2 linked regions of the Anolis sagrei genome follow. The protein of the gene in region 2 interacts with the protein of the main gene of each other region in a pairwise test. Links are inferred from orthologs where the notes say so. Each region holds a gene or a part of one and is shown on either strand. Other genes may lie near its edges.

Region 1 (9,589 bases), on a different chromosome or scaffold from region 2:
GTACATAGTTCATTTTCTATTCTTTACAAAGAATAACAGATTTTTAAAAGAATGTAACCTGCTTTTTTCAGCAAATAAGCCTGTGTTTTATTTTAAAGAGACTATGCAATCTTTGAAATTATGTAGGACCTTCCAAATCAAAGTAAGACGAGTTATTTTGGGTACAAAATGCAAAGTATAATGTAGTTTTACTCTTCAACCTGTTTTCTTTTTTCTTTTTACTCTTGTAAAACAGTTTAAATTCATATCCTAGTTATTATATGTGTGTATTCTCTCTCAAACACACACACAGATATAAAATTTACATACCACTGCACTGCCAATTATCAGAATCAATAAATAACAAATAACAAAATAAGTAATAAAACCAATTTAAATATTAAAATACTATACATAAAAAACCCCAATAAAATATTCACGAATCCTTTATACCTAGACACATAAAGAATCAGACATCATGACGCAAGGAAAACACGAAGACATGTAAATAAGCTGAGATGGACAATTTGACAATGCTGATCAAGAAGAAATATTTGATTGAAGGTAAGACTTGGATACATTTACTGTTGTTGTTGTTCATTCGTTCAGTTGTCTCCGACTCTTCGTGACCTCATGGACCAGCCCACGCCAGAGCTCCCTGTCGGCCGTTACCACCCCCAGCTCCCTCAAGGTCAGTCCAGTCACTTCAAGGATGCCATCCATCCATCTTGTCCTTGGTCGGCCCCTCTTCCTTTTGCCTTCCACTTTCCCCAGCATAATTGTCTTCTCTAGGCTTTCCTGTCTCCTCATGATGTGACCAAAGTACTTCAACTTTGTCTCTAGTATCTTTCCCTCCAGTGAGCAGTCAGGCTTTATTTCCTGGAGGATGGACTGGTTGGATCTTCTCGCAGTCCAAGGCACTCTCAGAACTTTCCTCCAACACCACAGCTCAAAAGCATCGATCTTCCTTCGCTCAGCCTTCCCTAAGGTCCAGCTCTCACATCCGTAGGTGACAACAGGGAATACCATGGCTTTGACTAGGCGGATCTTTGTTGCCAATCTGATGTCTCTACTCTTTACTATTTTATCGAGATTGGACATTGCTCTCCTCCCAAGAAGTAAGCGTCTTCTGATTTCCTGGCCACAGTCTGCATTTACTATCCTTTTACTATCCTTTGTTTAAAGATAAAATGGGGATAATCTTTAATTAGTATAATTTTTATTTACAAAATGATATTAAAAGTAGAGGGAAGAAATGACGCTTAAACGGAGTAACAAATAGGTAGCTAAAATCAGAGAGCTCATAGAGGGAGGCCCGTAGGACCCTTCCATACAGCCATATAACCCAGAATATCAAAGTAGATAATCAACAATATCTGCTTTGAACTGGATTAGCTGAGTCCACACCACCATATAATCCAGTTCAATGTGGATTCTATACAGCTGAGTGGAAGGAGCCGTAGAGTAGTTTTAGTAGATACCTGTTCATAATGTGTATAGAGCCCCTTTTACACTGCATCAAAAATCCAGATTATCTACTTTGAACTGGAACTTTTTCTTCTCCACAATATTTTTATTGTTTCGACATTACAACATCTTGCTCACGCTTAGTTTCAATTGGTGCTCATACTTATACACACTTCATTTTATATAACATTCCTTTTGTCTGCACCTTCTTTTTCATACATCCTTCTCTTCGATGACATTTTGTATTGTTAACACCCCTAATCCCAACCCCCCATCACCATTCCCTGTGATCACATATTTACCCTATATCTTTATCTTTAACCATGCACACAATTTCCTTAATTTCTGTACAATATTCACATTGGGAAAAGGATCTTACCAGATTTCTCTGGGCAGGGAAAGAGCCAGGATTGCGTACAGAAACGTAATTGATGGGAAAGAGAGAGGGGGTTTGAACCTACCAGATTTCAGATATTACCATGAAGCAGCAGGATACACTGGTTGAAAAACTGGATAACACTAGAGAACCAAAATCTACTCAACCTAGAGGGCCATGACCTCAGATGTGGCTGGCATGCATACCTAAAGATTTCAACAGACATACAGAGTGAGGCAGCATAACTTCCTTTTTTCAAAACTTAATAAAACCCATTGTATGAATCAGAAATTTTTATTTTTTTATAATGTAGGCGCATATCTAAAGTTTTGTTTTATGTAGTTTTGAAGATCAAATTAGGTAGGTGATGTTCCCCATTCTCCATACACTGAGTAAACCGATTTCTGGCGTTTGTTATGACTCTTGCCAGCATAGCAGGTGTTATGTTGGCAATTTCTTCCTTGATGTTGTTCTTCAAATCTTGTAGGGTCCTTGGACGGTTCACATAAACACGGGATTTCAAAAACCCCATAGAAAAAAATCACAAGGGGCCAAATCTGTTCCAACTCATGATGGCAACTGAACTGTTAGGACAAAACTTTATACTCCCGCCTCTCAAACATAACTCCTGCTATGCTGGCAAGCAGGCATGTAGGCGGGGGGGGGGGGGGGGGCTCGGGGGGGCTTCAGCCCCCCCCCCGAAATTATCATGGTGGTTCGCGAAAATGCCTTACTGGTGCATTATTTAAACTGTTATGTTTATTCATATCATGAGGTCTCTTCCGACTCTTTGATTCTATGATTCTATGATCTGATCACCATACTCAATATATCCCATATGCATGGGGGCATTGGGGTAATGATACAAAAGGTTTGCTAGGCTAGACCCTCTTTCACTCAGACTCAGCCCCCCCCCCGAAACTCAGCCCCCCCGAAACTCAGGCCCCCCCCCCGAAACCCCCCCTGAAAATTTTTTTAGCCCCCCCCCCCCCCCCCCGAAACGAAATCCTGGCTACGGGCCTGCTGGCAAGAGTAATGACAAACGCCAGAAATCGGTTTACTCAGTGTATGGAGAATGAGGGACGTCACCTACCTAATTTGATCTTCAAAACTACGTAAAACAAAACTTTAGGTATGTGCCTACATCAGTGATTCTCAACCTTCCTAATGCCACAACCCCTTAGTACAGTTCCTCATGTTGTGGTGACCTCCAATCATAAAATTATTTTCATTGCTACTTCATAATTGCAATTTTGCTACTGTTATGAATCGTAATGTAAATATCTGATATTTACATTATTTTAATTCACTGGACCAAATTTGGCATAAATATCCAATACGCCCAAATTTGAATACTGGTCAGGTTGAGGGCAAATTTTGTATTGTTGGAGTTTGAAGTCTATAACCCTTTGGGTTTGATGTGAATGTACGGGACTGGGTCCCAATCTTGTGATCTGGATTTGTATATACACTTTGTGCTGGTCATGGACTGTAATAAAGTTTTGATTGATTGATTGATTGATTGATTGATTGAGGGCAAATTGATTTTGTCATCTGGAAGCTGTAGTTGCTGGGATTTATAGTTCACCTGCAATGAAAGAGCATTCTGAACTCCACCAATGATGGAATCAAACCACACTTGGCCCACAGAACTCCCATCACCAACAGAAAATACTGGAAGGTTTTGGTGGGCATTTACTTTGAGTTTTGGAGTTGTAGTTCACCTACATCCAGAGAGTACTGTGGACTCAAACAATGATGGATCTGGATCAAACTTGGCACAAATACTCAATATGCCCAAATGTGAACACTGGTGGAGCTTGGAAAAAATAGGCCTTGACATTTGGGAGTTGTAGTTGCTGGGATTTATAGTTCACCTACAATCAAAGAGCCACTTGAACCCCATCAACAATAGAATTGGGCCAAACTTCCCACACAGAACCAATGACTAACAGAAAATACTGCAGGGATTTGGGAGGAATTGGCAGTGATTTAGGAGAGATGTAGTTCACCTATCTCCGGATAGCACTGTGTTCCTACGACCATCAGAAATATGTGTTTTCTGATTGTCTTTGGTGACCCTGCTTGGCCTACATTTTTTTTCTGATTCATACAATGGGTTTTATTAAGTTTTGAAAAAGGGAGGTTATGCTGCTTCACACTGTATGTATGTATATATATGTATGTGTGTGTGTGTGAACAAGAAAAAGTTATGGTCAGAATAGGAAGGCAAGTACATACACACAATACAAACAGCAGGGTCATCTCGATGGGGAATGCCTTCCACTGATAGCAATGCCTTTATGACCAAGTATCCTTCCATAAACAACCATTACTCTACTGTTAGCCGTCCTCAAAAGCCACCCCCTCCCCGCTATGGAGTCTTGACTAAGCCTCGAGGGTACATGCCCGCCTCCCTCTCCAGAAACCAGCCGGTCACCGAGATTCTGGTGCCTCAGATTGACCCTGTCTCGAACATCTTCCTCCGTCAGCGGCGCCCCGTCCGCGGCCATCATTTTCAAATAGTGCGCATGCGCTCTCCTCGAGAAGAAAGCGCCGTTGGACGCGGCGCCCCTCGAGCTAGGAGACGGGGAGCGCGCGGCTGAGCTCGCGCTCATCTCGCAGGCGGAGGAGCCAATCAGAGGCCGAGGAGATGTGCCATCCACAGTTGACGCTGGCTCTCGAGCGTCCGGTTGCCAGGCAACTGATGTCAGCTTCCGGTTGTATAGCAGTCTTATGAGAAGTCAGCGAGAACGAATACAAAAGCGAACAAAAAACAGGAAGAGGGGAAAAGTAGTGTCAGTATGAATTAGCCTGTGTTACCTATAAGGCTGTCATGTATATTTTTGTGCAATATTAGTATCGGTGCAGGCTTGCTTCTTCTAAAAACAGCAACTCTGGCCCATAGTTACAAAAGCCCCTTCCACACAGCTCTATAAAATCCACATTGAACTGGATTAAATGTTGGGTGTGGACTCAGGGCCCTTCCAGACAGGCCCGATATTCCAGGATCTGATCTCAGGTGCCCAGGGGGGAGTCTCTCATTTGGTATCAGACATTGGTTGAGGTTCTGGGTTTGAGCCTGCCACTTTTGGACTCGCTTGCTGAGGTGTCTCTGTAGATCTTAGAAAACTATTTCTTGATTTAAGTCGTTGACGTGCTGGCTGATATCCAAACAAGGGATGCTGCAGAAGGCATCACTTTTTCATAGAATCATAGAGTCCAACCCCCTGCCAAGAAGCAGGAAAATTGCATTCAAAGCACTCCCGACAGATGGCCATCCAGTCTCTGCTTAAAAGCTTCCAAAGAATGAGCCTCCATCACACTCCGGGGCAGAGAGTTCCACTGCTGAATGGCTCTCACAGTCAGGAAGGTCTTCCTAATGTTCAGATGGAATTTCCTTTCTTATAGTTTGAAGCCATTGTTCCGCATCCTAGTCTCCACAGCAGCAGAAAACAAGCTTGCTCCCTCCTCCCTATGACTTCCTCTCACATATTTATACCTGGCTATCATGTCTTCCCTCAATCTTCTTCAGGCCAAACATGCCCAGCTTTTGAAACCACTCCTCATAGGGCTTGTTCTCCAGACCAAGCCCTTTAGTCGTCCTCCTCTGGACACATTCCAGCTTGTCAACATCTCCCTTAAATTGTAGTGCCGTGAATTGGACACAGTATTCCAGATGTGGTATAACCAAGGCTTTTTTTTTTTTTGCCGCCGCATGACATTGTTGGCTCATGTTTAAATTTGTTGTCCACGAGGACTCCAAGATCTTTTTCACACGTACTGTTCTCGAGCCATGAGTCCCCCATTCTGTATCTTTGCATTTCATTTTTTTCTGCCTGTGGAGTATCTTGCATTTGTCACCACTGAACTTCATTTTGTTAGTTTTGGCCCATCTCTCTTATCTGTTAAGATCGTTTTGAATTCTACTCCGGTCTTCGAGTATTGGCTATCTCTCCCAAATTGGTGTCATCTGCAAACTTGATGATCATGCCTTCTAACCCTTCATCTAAGTCATTAATAAAGATGTTGAACAGGACCGGGCCCTGCGGCACTCCGTTCGTTACTTCTTTCCAGGAAGTAACAGTGTTACCAATTAAACATCCATTTTTGAAGGAAAGAAAGTAAAATTTAGAGGAAATGAAACTTTTAAAGCAGAGGGCCATTCACAGTCCCTCGACTATTGGGGGGGGGGCAGTTTGAGGAAAAACATGAACAAATTCTTATGTATATATCTTATTTGTAGTGAAAAAACCATGAAAGAACAATACAGTGTTTAAAATGAAGAGTAATTTTAACCAACATAAACTTACCAGTATTTCAATGGGAAGTGTGGGCCTGCTTTTGGATGATGAGATTGTCAAGTTAATTAGGATTGTTATTGTGTCCCTTCAAGTCATTTCAGACTTAGTCTAAAGTTTAGGGCTGGGGCTGAGTAAATTACCTTGGAGGGCACATCTACACTGACCACTGGGGTCAGCTTCGAGCCAGCATAAAAGAAAGTGTGATTTCAATGTGTGAACAATTTGGTTAGTAATTGTTGTTATATTGCTTTATTACATTTAATGGCATCAAATTGTGCCTTCCTGAGTTCCCCTTTGGGGGGTGAGAAGGACGGGGCAGAAAATACTGGAAATAAATAAATAACTAGTAATCCCGAAACTGGCTTGAGGTCTGGATGACGCTCACATGCACTACAGAGGCGGACCTCGAACCAGTTCCAGAATCTGGAATTTGACAATCACCAACAATGCAGGGTTTTTTAAACCTCATTTTGTCAGAATACACATATATTGATCAGTGGAGTACATGTTGTGTAATGTGGTTTATAGTAGGTAAAGGTAAAGGTTGTCCCCTGACATTAAGTCCAGTCATGTCTGACTCTGGGGTGTGGTGCTCATCTCCATTTCTAAGCCGAAGAGCCACCGTTGTCCGTAGACACCTCCAAGGTCATGTGGCCTTGCACTGCATGGAGCGCCGTTACCTTCCCACCGGAGCGGTACCTATTGATCTACTCACATTTGCATGTTTTCAAACTGCTAGGTTGGCAGAAGCTAGGGCTGACAGCGGAAGCTCACGCCGCTCCCCGGAATCGAACCTGCGACCTTTCGATCAACAAGCTCAGCAGCTCAGTGCTTTAACCCACTGCGCCACCGGGGGCTCTGTGGTTTATAGTAGAGTGCACTATATATAAATATTAGGGGCTCTGTTTTAGATTATTCCCTGACTTTAATTATATCAGTTTAAAGTGCTTGAAGCACATTACAGTGTTTTCTCAGCATGCATTGTATAGATGCTGCACTTTGAAACTGATCCCAAAGCTGTATTAAATAGTCAGTGTTGATATGTCCAAAGCCACCCCAAAATGAATTGTGATATGTGAACCAATACTGTTCACATTAATACCAACACTTTAACAAACAGAAAATGTTATACTGCCTATAAAGTGCAAAAAGCTAATAACTGTACTTCAAAAATGTGCACTAATGGCAAACATTTTTAAAAATATACAAAATGCTTGTCCTTGGACTTAATAGTTAAGCCTGATTCATCAGGCTTAACTTTTGGCGATATTACAGAGCTATCATAGTTTTAGATTAAGTCAAGTTTTGAAAGAACGAATCTTGTGTGAAGTATCATAAGCTGAGGAAGTATGTGTATGTTCTGCCAAGTTTTAGAAATATCTTCCTTATATTTAATTTGAACATAATAATAGCATTCATAGACTGGTAATACGGTTTTACAGAAACAGGTATGCCAACAAGGCAAATAATTAAATTTTAGTGGACCACATTTTCCCTGTGTAATAGTGGTACCATGTGACAAGATATGATAGGCCCAGCACATTGTAACCTTTCTATCTCCATATCAAAGTCAGTTCTTTCCTCCTTTATTATTTTGAAAGCCTTGTTTTTCATCAGGGTTTAATTGCTTTAAAAGTACATATTGATTATTTGATTACTTTGGAACATGGAACTAATTGCCCTTGTGCTCAAATTAGACCTTGAGGACTTTTCATTTTAGCACCAGCATAGCCAGATACTCTTTTCCACTCTTTTGGCACATAGGCTATTTCCTCTGAGAGAGGCTCAGTTCTGATGCTATGCCTCAGTATCCAAATTCATATAAGATATAATAATAATAATGATAATAATAATAATAATAATACTTTATTTATACCCCGCCACCATCTCCCCAAGGGGACCCAGGGCGGCTTACATGAGGCCAAGCCCAACAACACATCAGTAAAACAACAAAGCAACAAGCAAATAAAACAGTACAAATAATACAGGGTTAGTCAAAATGCATAGGCCAATAAGCCATTCAATTGAATAGCTTATTGGCCTATGCATTTTGACTAACCCTGTATAACTAACATGTAAGCAGTAACACACAAAAATTTAAAACACTATGGGCAGGCCAGATGTAATAGATTAAAAATTTAAAAAACAAACACTGGACATGAACAGAGGTCGGATATATCTAAGAAGGTGGCTTTTAAAGAGTAATGTATGAGGAGCGGCTTAAGGAGCTGGGCATGTTTAGACTGAAGAAGAAAAGGATGAGAGGAGATATGATAACTGTTCGGTCATGCGCTGGCCCTGTAAATAATTGTCTTTAGAATAGGATCTGCAACCTTTGCCCAGCGGGAAGCCAGGGGGCCCAAAGAGAAGTTCTCAGAGGGTTTCACCACAAATAGTCTTTAGATGGCTTGTGAAGTACAACAAAGTCCTTTATTAATGAACAATCAAACAGAAACTTCTCTTGTCTTCAGTAAAATTAAGCAAATGATTCCAAGCTTTTAGGCAACTGGTGAATTCCTAATCTTGCCCACAAAGGACAGGCAACTGTCTTCAATAACTTCTTCTTTAAAGGAAAATCCCCTTTTTAACTTCTCCCAGGCTGACTGTAATCTAACCCTTACTGACGTGGGCTCCGCTACCGGGTCGAACTGCGTCTCGAACGCCAAGTGGACCTACCAGTAAGGCAGGAAATGTTCTCCAGCTGGAGTTCTTTGGTCTTTAGGGCTGTTTCCCTGGAAATTCTTAAAGGTTGAAGCTTTTGTACAGGGGAAGCTTGCACACATCCTATACATAAGTTAACCTTGCTGAGACCAACTAAAAATGGCTCCCTTCCCTTCCCAATTGCCCTGAGCAAGGGACGGGACCAAAACTTAACGATTATGGACAGGTGACTTGCCCTATGACTGCAACCAAAACAAGCCACCTATCTGCAGAGTCCCTGAAACCTAGGACTGCAATCAAACATTTAATACAAAGCAAATAAAGTTGGAGCTCCTAGTACAGCTGTACCAGAACAATAGCCATGTATAAATATGTGAGAGGAATCCACAGGGAGGAGGGAGCAAGCTTGTTTACTGCTTCCATGGAGATTAGGACAAGGAACAATGGCTTCAAACTACAAGAAAGGAGATTCCATCTGAACATAAGGAAGGACTTCCTGACTGTGAGAGCCATTCAGCAGTGGAGCTTTCAGCGTGGTGGAGGCTCCTTCTTTGGAAGCTTTTATACAGAGGCTGGATGGCCATCTGTGAGGGGTGATTTGAATGCAATATCCCTGCTTCTTGGCAGGGGGTTGGACTGGATGGCCCATGAGGTCTCTTCCAACTCTTTGATTCTATGATTCTATGATCAACCCAACAGGTAGATAAAGTGCTTCTGAGGACATTTTGCAGGGAATTGGTCAGAACAGGGCATTGTTTCCTTTATTCAGTGAAGGCATACTGGAACAGCCACGTTTTCAGGC
Region 2 (9,610 bases):
ATATTATTCCTGTTTAATTGTGCTGGACTTACTTCGAAAGTAGTTTTTTATACTCCAGAAACCTCGTTTTTGTGGCTGCCACAAACTATGTGGATTTGGTTGAGACTCTGCAAGATGTTCACTGAAAAACTTTTAGAGAAATGTGCTGCAGGATGTCCCACAAAAACAAAGTTTTTGCAGTTTAATAAACTTTCCCCATGTTTTTATGATAGAACCAATTAGGATAGGACATCTATAACTCAAGAACAAAAATTGTGTTATATAGTGTAATATCACATAATACAGTTTTCCCTTGCTACTTCGTGGTTCGCTTTCTGTGGACTCGATGGTTCTGGAATGGTTCTGGAATGGGTGGCTCTGGAATGTAACACCCACAATAAGTGAGGGAATACTGTACTGTTTTTACACTGCTTCAGACCAGCACTTCTTCTAACCTAAACTGGGACAAGGAACCTTTTTTCTTTCTGTCAGGGACTACAGAATGCTTCATGGAGGTCAGAAGTTGGCAGGCCCAAAATAAGGTATTCTTTTCTCTTTTTGCCACTCATGGACCACAAGTTGTTTAAAGCATCAAATTATATTAAAGAAGCATGAGAACTGCAAGGGCAGCAATACCTGGATCAACCATGCACTACTGTTGTTTGGAATGCTAGTTATGCTTACTATAAAAGCTTTGTATTTGAGCAGCCATTACAAATATAACAACATTTCAAGAAACCTTGCAGGGCTTGATTGGTGGCCTCCTTTGCTTGATCAACAGCTGAGGAAAGAGGTGTTCCTGGCACAGTTTCCTTCTCCTGTTCCTCTTCTGAGAGGTCTCCCACATCTCCAAACAACTCAGCCACACTTTCCTCATGGCCACTGGATTCCTCTTCCTTGCCCTCCACCTCCTCAGTGTAGGACTCTTCATCTTCTTCGTCAAAGAGCTTGTCATAATCATCAGGATCACTTGCCACGGCTACATTATCTGTGCTCTTCTCTCCGGAAACGGGCTCTGCAGTGGCCTCATTCTCCTCCAAGAGGGAGGCCAACAGGTCTAAGCTATCACTGTCTGGAAAGAAATGGAAAAAAAAACCAGATCAATGTTATAACAAACCCAAACACAAGATATCTAAATACATAACACTGTATTTAGAGTACCATAACATTCACCATAACATGGTGAATGAATTAGAACTAGACATCCCGAGGAGTGAGGTTGAATGGGCCTTAAGAAGCATTGCTAACAACAAGGCAGCAGGAGATGACAGGATCCCATCTGAACTGTTTAAAACAGGGGTCCGCAAACTTTTTGAACAGAGGGCCAGGTCACAGTCCCTCAAACTGTTGGCGGGCCAGATTATAATTCGCAAAAATTCCATGTCATGTAAAATCTCTGGTGGAAGACATGATGTGTTTATATTACAGGAGGAAAAGGGAGCATTCAAAAGATTTAAACCATAAGCAGAAGCTGGCTATGCAGTTGGCTTTTTACAAAAGCATGACATTTCAGTTGGAATGTCATCTTTTTTTTTTCTTATTGGCATGAGATAGGTGCCACTGAAAATCTAAAATAAGACTGCTTATTATAAGCGTTTCATACTATATATATACATACACCCACACACAGGTTTTATATAATCTTTACTTGATCTGGATTCCTGTTAGCTGCTCTATGTGGCTCATCACAAACATCACTGTCAACAGCTTGCATTTTCTTAATTAGAAACTTATCATTTTTAATGGTAAATACTGCAATTCAATTAACAAATTGTACAAATTATCCAAGTTATAACAGTAACTCCACCTGAACAACACTCCACTTCTATAGTGATTAATGCTCCCTGGAAGTTTTTGAATGGAGGCTAGATGGCCATCTGTAGGGGGTGCTTCGATTGTGCTTTTCCTGCATGGCAGGGGGTTGGACTAGATAGTCCATGTGGACTCTTCCAATTCTAGATTCTATTACACTAAATCTGAAAACCATCTCTGCTTCTGTTGGCTCCAGGAGCAGAAAATAAGTTTGCATAGTACCTGAAAAGCACAGTGTTAAAGGTAACAGGATAATTAATATGTTTTAAACAATACGTACAGAACTTACCATCCATGTCATGAGCTGCACCAGCAGACACTTCACAAAAGAATTGTTGACTTCTAGAGAGTCTTTTGTTATGAGTTCACGCCCAAAATTGGGAAACTGGTACAAACTCCAAGGTCTGTGTATTTTTAATCGTATTACTTTTTAAAGTTGCAAGCTGTTTCGGGCCTCAATCCTGAGAAAATGAATATGAAAGTAATAACAGCAAAATATTATTTCTATTATCATAATAATATTTATTAAATGTTAATTATACATCTACATAAATAAAACTGTAATGTTCGTTTGTGGGATTAACATAACTCAGAAACCACTGGACGAATTGACACCAAATTTTGACACAATACACCTAACAGTCCAACGAGTGTTCAACACCCCTAAAATATATATTTTTTAAAATATCCACAGCAGAACGGACTAAAAAACCCCCTAAAATACACCATACACACACTCATACATACGCATACACACATATATATACCCTTTCTTACTTTGTCATTTGAGGCGCAGGAGACAGGAAGCCCACAACTTCTTATATAATTTGTCAGTTGTGTAATCCAAGAAAGGGTGCCATACAACGAATTTTGGATATAGAAGCACAAAAAGATATAGCCACCCTCAATAAGACTGCTAACCTAAAATGGCTGTCAATATAAACGTACCTTTCAAATTGCTAACTACCTAAAAATGCAAATACCAAAACATCTTAGGGAGGTATTCACTCGAGCCAGATTTGATCAGCTCGAGACAATGGTTAGATACGGGAGATTTAACAGCATCCCTTATAATGAACGGAGTTGTATCTGCGGGGCACCTGAAATTGAGGATATAGCACACATATTGTTTGATTGCAAATTGTATCAAAAGGTGAGAGACTTCCACCTTGGTCCATATATCAAACGGACAATGTATTGGGAATCCCACATCAGAACAACATATTTTATGTGTGGCCAAGACCCAAAAATAATATAAAACAGCTCTGTACTTAAGCAAAACAATACGTCTGAGAACCACATATGTAGGGCTGATTGGAGTAATAGTTTTCTAAGATCTACAGAGACCCTCGCTGGAACACCTCAGCAAGCGAGAGTCCAAAAGTGGCAGTCTCAAACCCAGAATGTTTGAGGTGGAGTATCCATTGGCCTGTAGAGCCCTATTGATCAGTTTATCAGTTTTATCATATTTATTTACTGTATTGTTATAAGTGTCTTATTTTAACTTATTATGTGGAGTGTGATAAGGTCTTGTCAGGCCTTGTTGTTCTGTTTCTTATTGTGATATGGCCTAAGGGCTAATCAATAAAAATTACTACTACTATATATATATACCCAAACACATACAAATATACACACACACACACAAATATACACATGCACACATACATATACACACATATAAACACAAATATGCATATAGACAAGAACACACATCTACACAATATCCATAATGAATACTTATTAAGGAATAAATAACTAATTACACAATTATGGGGATCATCATGATTAATGTTGTTATTATTTGGTCTCTCCCTCTTTTTTTGGTGGTCCCTTTTTCCTCCCAAAATCAGAGCCCCAGAACCGAACCCCACCTTTTTGGAGCAACCCAGATGATATCCTTTTCCAATCCTGTAATGGGGATCCTTTCTTTCTTTCTCCCTTTCTCCCTTTCTCCCTTTCTCCCTTCCTTCCTTCCTTCCTTCCTTCCTCCCTCCCTCCCTCCCTTCCTTCCTTCCTTCCTTCCTTCCTTTCTATCCAGGCCTTCTTACCTTCCTCCTCCTCTCTCCTCCTTTGGCGCCATCTGCTCGCTTCCTCCCAATCACCCGCCAAAATTCCAACCCTCCGTAGCCCCGCCCCCATCACCGCCCATCCGATTCAACCCGGAAGCTGAAGCGTCGCCAGCTCGCCCGTCTCTGTCTCTGGAATGAAGGGCGGGGTGCACAATGCGCATGCTCGGAAGGTCTTCCTTGATTCATTTTGCAGGACAGTAGAGCTAGGCGTGTATGCGGATCTTAAAGGAGATGCCCCTTTTGCTGATTAGCAAGAGATCCCCTCTTAGCTTAGTTAAGCTGGGTCTGTCCTAGATGGTACTTGGATGGGAGATCAGCCTCAGAATGGAATTAAACCTCAAAACATGCGAGAAAATATGAAGCACTAGCAATCCCCTGTAATGCGTTGCTATGGCCCAATTTGGTGATCTGGGAAATAAAGTAATGAGAAAGTGTTGGTTTCTAATATATGTGATGTCTTTATGCTTGTGGGTAAACAGTATTTCTTGCTCTTTCTTTGCCAGTGTTGATATCTGGTTTGCCTACTCTGGAACATGGAACATATCGTCCTTCCCTTTCAAATCTTTGATACTGCATCTGTCCTACACATAGAATCAAAGAGTTGGGAGAGATGTCATGGGCCATCCAGTCCAACCCCCTGCCAAGAAGCAGGAATATTGCATTCAAATCACCCCTGACAGATGGCCATCCAGACTCTGTTTAAAAGCTTCCAAAAAAGGAGCCTCCACCACACTCCGGGGCAGAGAGTTCCACTGCTGAACGGCTCTCACAGTCAGGAAGTTCTTCCTCATGTTCAGATGGAATCTCCTCTCTTGTAGTTTGAAGCCATTGTTCCGTGTCCTAGTCTCCAAGGAAGCAGAAAACAAGCTTGCTCCCTCCTCCCTGTGGCTTCCTCTCACATAATGGCTATCATATCTCCTCTCAGCCTTCTCTTCTTCAGGCTAAACATGCCCAGTTCCCTAAGCCGCTCCTCATAGGGCTTGTTCTCCAGACCCTTGAGCATTTTAGTCGCCCTCCTCTGGACACATTCCAGCTTGTCAATATCTCTCTTCAATTGTGGTGCCCAGAATTGGACACAATATTCCAGATGTGGTCTAACCAAGACAGAATAGAGGGGTAGCATGACTTCCCTAGATCTAGACACTATGCTCCTATTGATGCAGGCCAAAATCCCATTGGCTTTTTTTGCCGCCACATCACATTGTTGGCTCATGTTTAACTTGTTGTCCACGAGGACTCCAAGATCTTTTTCACACGTACTGCTCTCGAGTGAGGCATCCCCCATTTTTTATCTTTGCATTTCGTTTTTCCTGCCAAAGTGGAGTATCTTGCATTTGTCCCTGTTGAACTTCATCTTGTTAGTTTTGGCCCATCTCTCTAATCTATCAAGATCGTTTTGAGTCCTGCTCCTGTCCTCTGGAGTATTGGCTATCCCCCCCCCCCCCCCCAATTTGGTGTCGTCTGCAAACTTGATGATCCTGCCTTCTAGCCCTTCGTCTAAGTCATTAATAAAGATGTTGAACAGGACCGGGCCCAGGACGGAACCCTGCGGCACTCCGCTCTGTATCTTTGCATTTCATTTTTTCTGCCAAAGTGGAGTATCTTGCATTTGTCACTGTTGAACTTCATTTTGTTAGTTTTGGCCCATCTCTCTAATCTGTCAAGATCATTTTGAATTCTGCTCCTGTCCTCTGGACTATTGGCTATCCCTCCCAATTTGGTGTCGTCTGCAAACTTGATGATCATGCCTTCTAGCCCTTCATCTAAGTCATTAATAAAGATGTTGAACAGGACCGGGCCCAGGACGGAACCCTGCGGCACTCCACTTGTCACTTCTTTCCAAGATGAAGAGGAAACATTCGTGAGCACTCTCTGTGTTCGTCCACTTAACCAATTACAGATCCACCTCACCGTAGTTTTGCCTAGCCCACATTGGACTAGTTTCCTTGCCAGAAGGTCATGGGGGACCTTGTCGAAGGCCTTACTGAAATCCAGGTACGCTACATCCACGGTATTCCCCGCATCTGCCCAGCTTGTAGCTCTATCGAAGAAAGAGATCAGATTAGTCTGGCATGACTTGTTTTTGATAAATCCATGTTGGCTATTAGCGATGGCTGCATTTGTTTCTAAGTGTTTGCAGACCGCTTCCTTAACAATCTTTTCCAGAATTTTGCCTGGTATTGACGTGAGGCTGACCGGACGGTAGTTGTTTGGGTCATCCTTTTTTCCCTTCTTGAAGATATATGTGTGTGTGTGTGAATGGCAGGATGGCCCTTTGTCAGGAGGGCTTGATTATGTTTTCTTGCCCTGGTGAAGGGAGTTGGACTGGATGGCTTTAAGGCAGCATTTCTCAACCTGGGGTTTGGGACCCCTGGGGGGGGGGGGGGGTTGCAAGGAGGTGTCAGAAGACCACAAGAAAACAGTATTTTCTGTTGGTCATGAGGGTTCTGTGTGGGAAGTTTGCCCCAATTCTGTCATTAGTGGGGTTCAGAATGCTCCTTGATTGTAGGTGAACTATAAATCCCAGTAACTACAACTCCCAAATTTCAAGGTCTATTTTCCCCAAACTCCATCTGTGTTTATATTTGGGCATATTGAGTATTCGTGCCAAGTTTGGTCCAGATCCATCATTGTTTGAGCCCACAATGCTCACTAGATGTAGGTGAACCAAAACTCCAAAACTCAAGGTTAATGCCCACCAAACCCTTCTAGTGTTTTCTGTTGGTCAGGGGAGTTCTGTGTGTCAAGTTTGGTTCAATTCCATCATTGGTGGAGTCCAGAATGCTCTTTGATTATAGGTGAACTATAAATCCCAGCAACTACAACTCCCAAATGACAAAATCATAATTTTTTGCGTGATGGTCACTCCTTGTGTTGTGAGACGTTTTGTTGCCAAATTTGGTGTGATTTTGTTCATTGGTTCTTTTGTTTTTAAGGTACTCATTATGCACAGAGCATATAGATAGATAGATAGATAGATAGATAGATAGATAGATAGATAGATAGATAGATTGCTTTGGGAAAACCGCTTCGGAGAACTGCATCTTATGTGTCAAAACTCATTTTCTTGGAGGCCACATCAGCCTGGAAATGGGTATAGGGGAGGTAGGAGGGGGGTGGGAAATGGGGAAGTGGAGGGATGGTAGAGAAAGCTGCTGGCTTCCAGTCCTCTCCATCTTTGGCTTCAGAGTCTCATAAGTCAATTTTCCAGATAAGTGGCTAGCCCTTTTGCATCTGATCCAATTTTCTAATCATTTTTTTAAAGTTATCATTCTGTATTTATTATCCATTTATAGTTTTTTTGGATTAAGTAGTTCCTTACCGGGGACCAATCTGTTTGTATTATCTTCATCGTTTGGTTCGCCTTCAACAACTGTGTTAGTCTATCCATATTCATAATATGTATTATCTTGAGAAGCCATTGTTCTTGTGTGGGGATCTCCTTGGTTCTCCAATGCCTCATGTAGCAGACATGCCGCATTATCACAGGGTGTCTGCGCCCTACACCACTGGAGAAATTACACTGCTTAGCCGGTATTGCACCACCTGACACCTGCCGGGAAGTAGCAGCCAATAGTGAAAGGACCAAGGCAGAGACATCTCCAGCTCATCCCGTTTCGGTATCAGCCAGCACGTCAACGACTTAAATCTAGAAATAGTTTTCTAAGATCTATGGAGATACTCGCTGGAACACCTCAGCAAGTGAGAGTCCAAAAGTGGCAGGCTCAAACCCAGAAACTCAACCAATGGCTGATACTAAATGAGAGACTTCCCCCTGGGCACACAGAAGACTGGGCGACTTGGAGGGCGCTGAACAGACTGCGCTCTGGCACCACAAGATGCAGAGCCAACCTTAAGAAATGGGGCTACAAAGTGGAATCCACGACATGCTAGTGTGGAGGAGAGCAAACCACTGACTACCTGCTGCAATGCAACCTGAGCCCTGCTATATGCACAATGGAGGACCTTCTTGCAGCAACACCAGAAGCACTCCAAGTGGCCAGATACTGGTCAAAGGACATTTAATCAACTACCAAACTCACAAACTTTGTATTTTGTCTGCATGTCTGTTTTGTCCTGTTAGAAATGTAATACAATTGACTGGTTGCCCTGACACGACAAATAAATAATGTAGCAGATTCTGACTGCAGTTATTAAGTAAATTAGGAGTTTTTCTTTATTTATTTCCAGGTCTTCCTCTATAATTCCTAATAAAAAAAAGTTCTGGCTTTAAATCAATCTTAACCTCAAGCATCTGTAGCCGAAATTTAACCCGAAATTTTACAGGTTAAAAAAATAAACCTGGTTTCCTCATGAATTTTAACTCATGGCTAACCAAATTCCCATGCTAAGTCTATGAGATGCAAAAAATTAAAAGTCCCTCCAGAACTGCAAGCACTATCTCAAGCAAATATTGACAATTTATTCACACAGTCATTACTTGCAGCAATAGCCGATGTAGCGAAGCAACCAAGTTGGGGGTGGGGGGTGTTGAATGCTCTCGTTAAGGAGGCCAGACTTGGTGGAGGTGGTTGACAAGGGCGGAGCTGCAGGCTATTGAAGGCTGCTCTGCCCCTGCTTTGATCTTTGCTTCAGTGTGAGCTAGGAGGCAGGTTTCAACCCCCCCCCCCAATTTCCTACCCCCCTCCTGAAATGTTCAACCCCTCCCTGAAATTTTCAACCCTCCCTGAAATTTTTTTCTGGCTACGGCCCTGCACACACATATATTTTATGCTTGTGGATTTCAATGGCTTCTCTGTGTAGTCTGACATGGTGGTTGTTGGTGTGGTCCAGCATTTCTGTGTTCTCAAATAATATGCTGTGCAGGTTGGTTCACAAGGTGCTCTGCTATGGCTGATTTCTCTGGTGGAAGTAGTCTGCAGTGCCTTTCATGTTCCTTGATTCGTGTTTGGGCAATGCTGCTTTTGGTGGTCCCTATGTAGACCTGTCCACAGCTCCACGGTACATGGTAGACTCCTGCAGAAGCGAGAGGATCCCTCTTGTCCTTTGCTGAACATAGCATTTGTTGGATTTTCTTGGTGGGTCTGCAGATAGTTTGTATGTTGTGTTTCCTCATCAGAGTCCTTTGTCCGACCCTGGTTATTCCACAGATATATAAACTCTATGTACTCTATGTATATATGTACTCTATGTAGGCATCGAATAGTGCCTTTTTTGCAAGCCACCTTGAGTCCCCCCTAGGAGGTTGAGAAGGGCGGAGCAAAAGTAACTGTAATAAATAAATAAATAAATAAACCCTTTTTCCTAGTTCCAACAGACCTCACTACCTCTGAGGATGCTTGCCATAGATGCAGGCGAAATGTCAGGAGAAAATGCCTTTAGAATATGGCCATATAGCCCCCAAAAAACCTACAACAACCCAGTCATTCCGGCCATGAAAGCCTTCGACAATACATCATCATCATCATCATCATCATCATCATCATCATCATCTTCATTATGTCCCCTGCCACACATTGTTGTGGCCCAGTCTGTGTATATGTTTTGTGTGTATATATTTGTGTATATGTGTCTATGTGTGTTTCCATATATATATGTGGTTTTGTGCATACGTTGTAATGTACTTTTTTGGATTTTAGCTTTTTAAGCCTCTTCTGCTGTGTTTTTCAGTGATTTTATGAGTGATGGTCATTTGTTGGCCTGATATGTGTATTGAGTCCAAATTTAGTATCAATTCGTCCAGTGGTTTTTGAGTTATATTAATCCCACAAATGAACATTACATTT

The links.
Region 1: the proteins of MCM10 (region 2) and CEP72 interact in a two-hybrid assay, tested with the Homo sapiens proteins (2 studies listed by BioGRID and IntAct). The two-hybrid records come from large-scale screens. The link is inferred for Anolis sagrei from reciprocal best matches to the Homo sapiens genes MCM10 and CEP72.

Annotation. Positions count from the first base shown.
Region 1 is NC_090026.1:60,067,516-60,077,104, reverse strand, and holds the start of CEP72 (centrosomal protein of 72 kDa), read right to left. Parts: upstream 4,255-9,589; 5' UTR 4,146-4,254; coding exon 4,064-4,145; intron 1-4,063. UniProt on the Homo sapiens protein: Involved in the recruitment of key centrosomal proteins to the centrosome.
Region 2 is NC_090025.1:92,656,412-92,666,021, reverse strand, and holds the start of MCM10 (protein MCM10 homolog), read right to left. Parts: upstream 3,922-9,610; 5' UTR 3,843-3,921; intron 2,253-3,842; 5' UTR 2,088-2,252; coding exon 2,081-2,087; intron 1,052-2,080; coding exon 719-1,051; intron 1-718. UniProt on the Homo sapiens protein: Acts as a replication initiation factor that brings together the MCM2-7 helicase and the DNA polymerase alpha/primase complex in order to initiate DNA replication. Additionally, plays a role in preventing DNA damage during replication.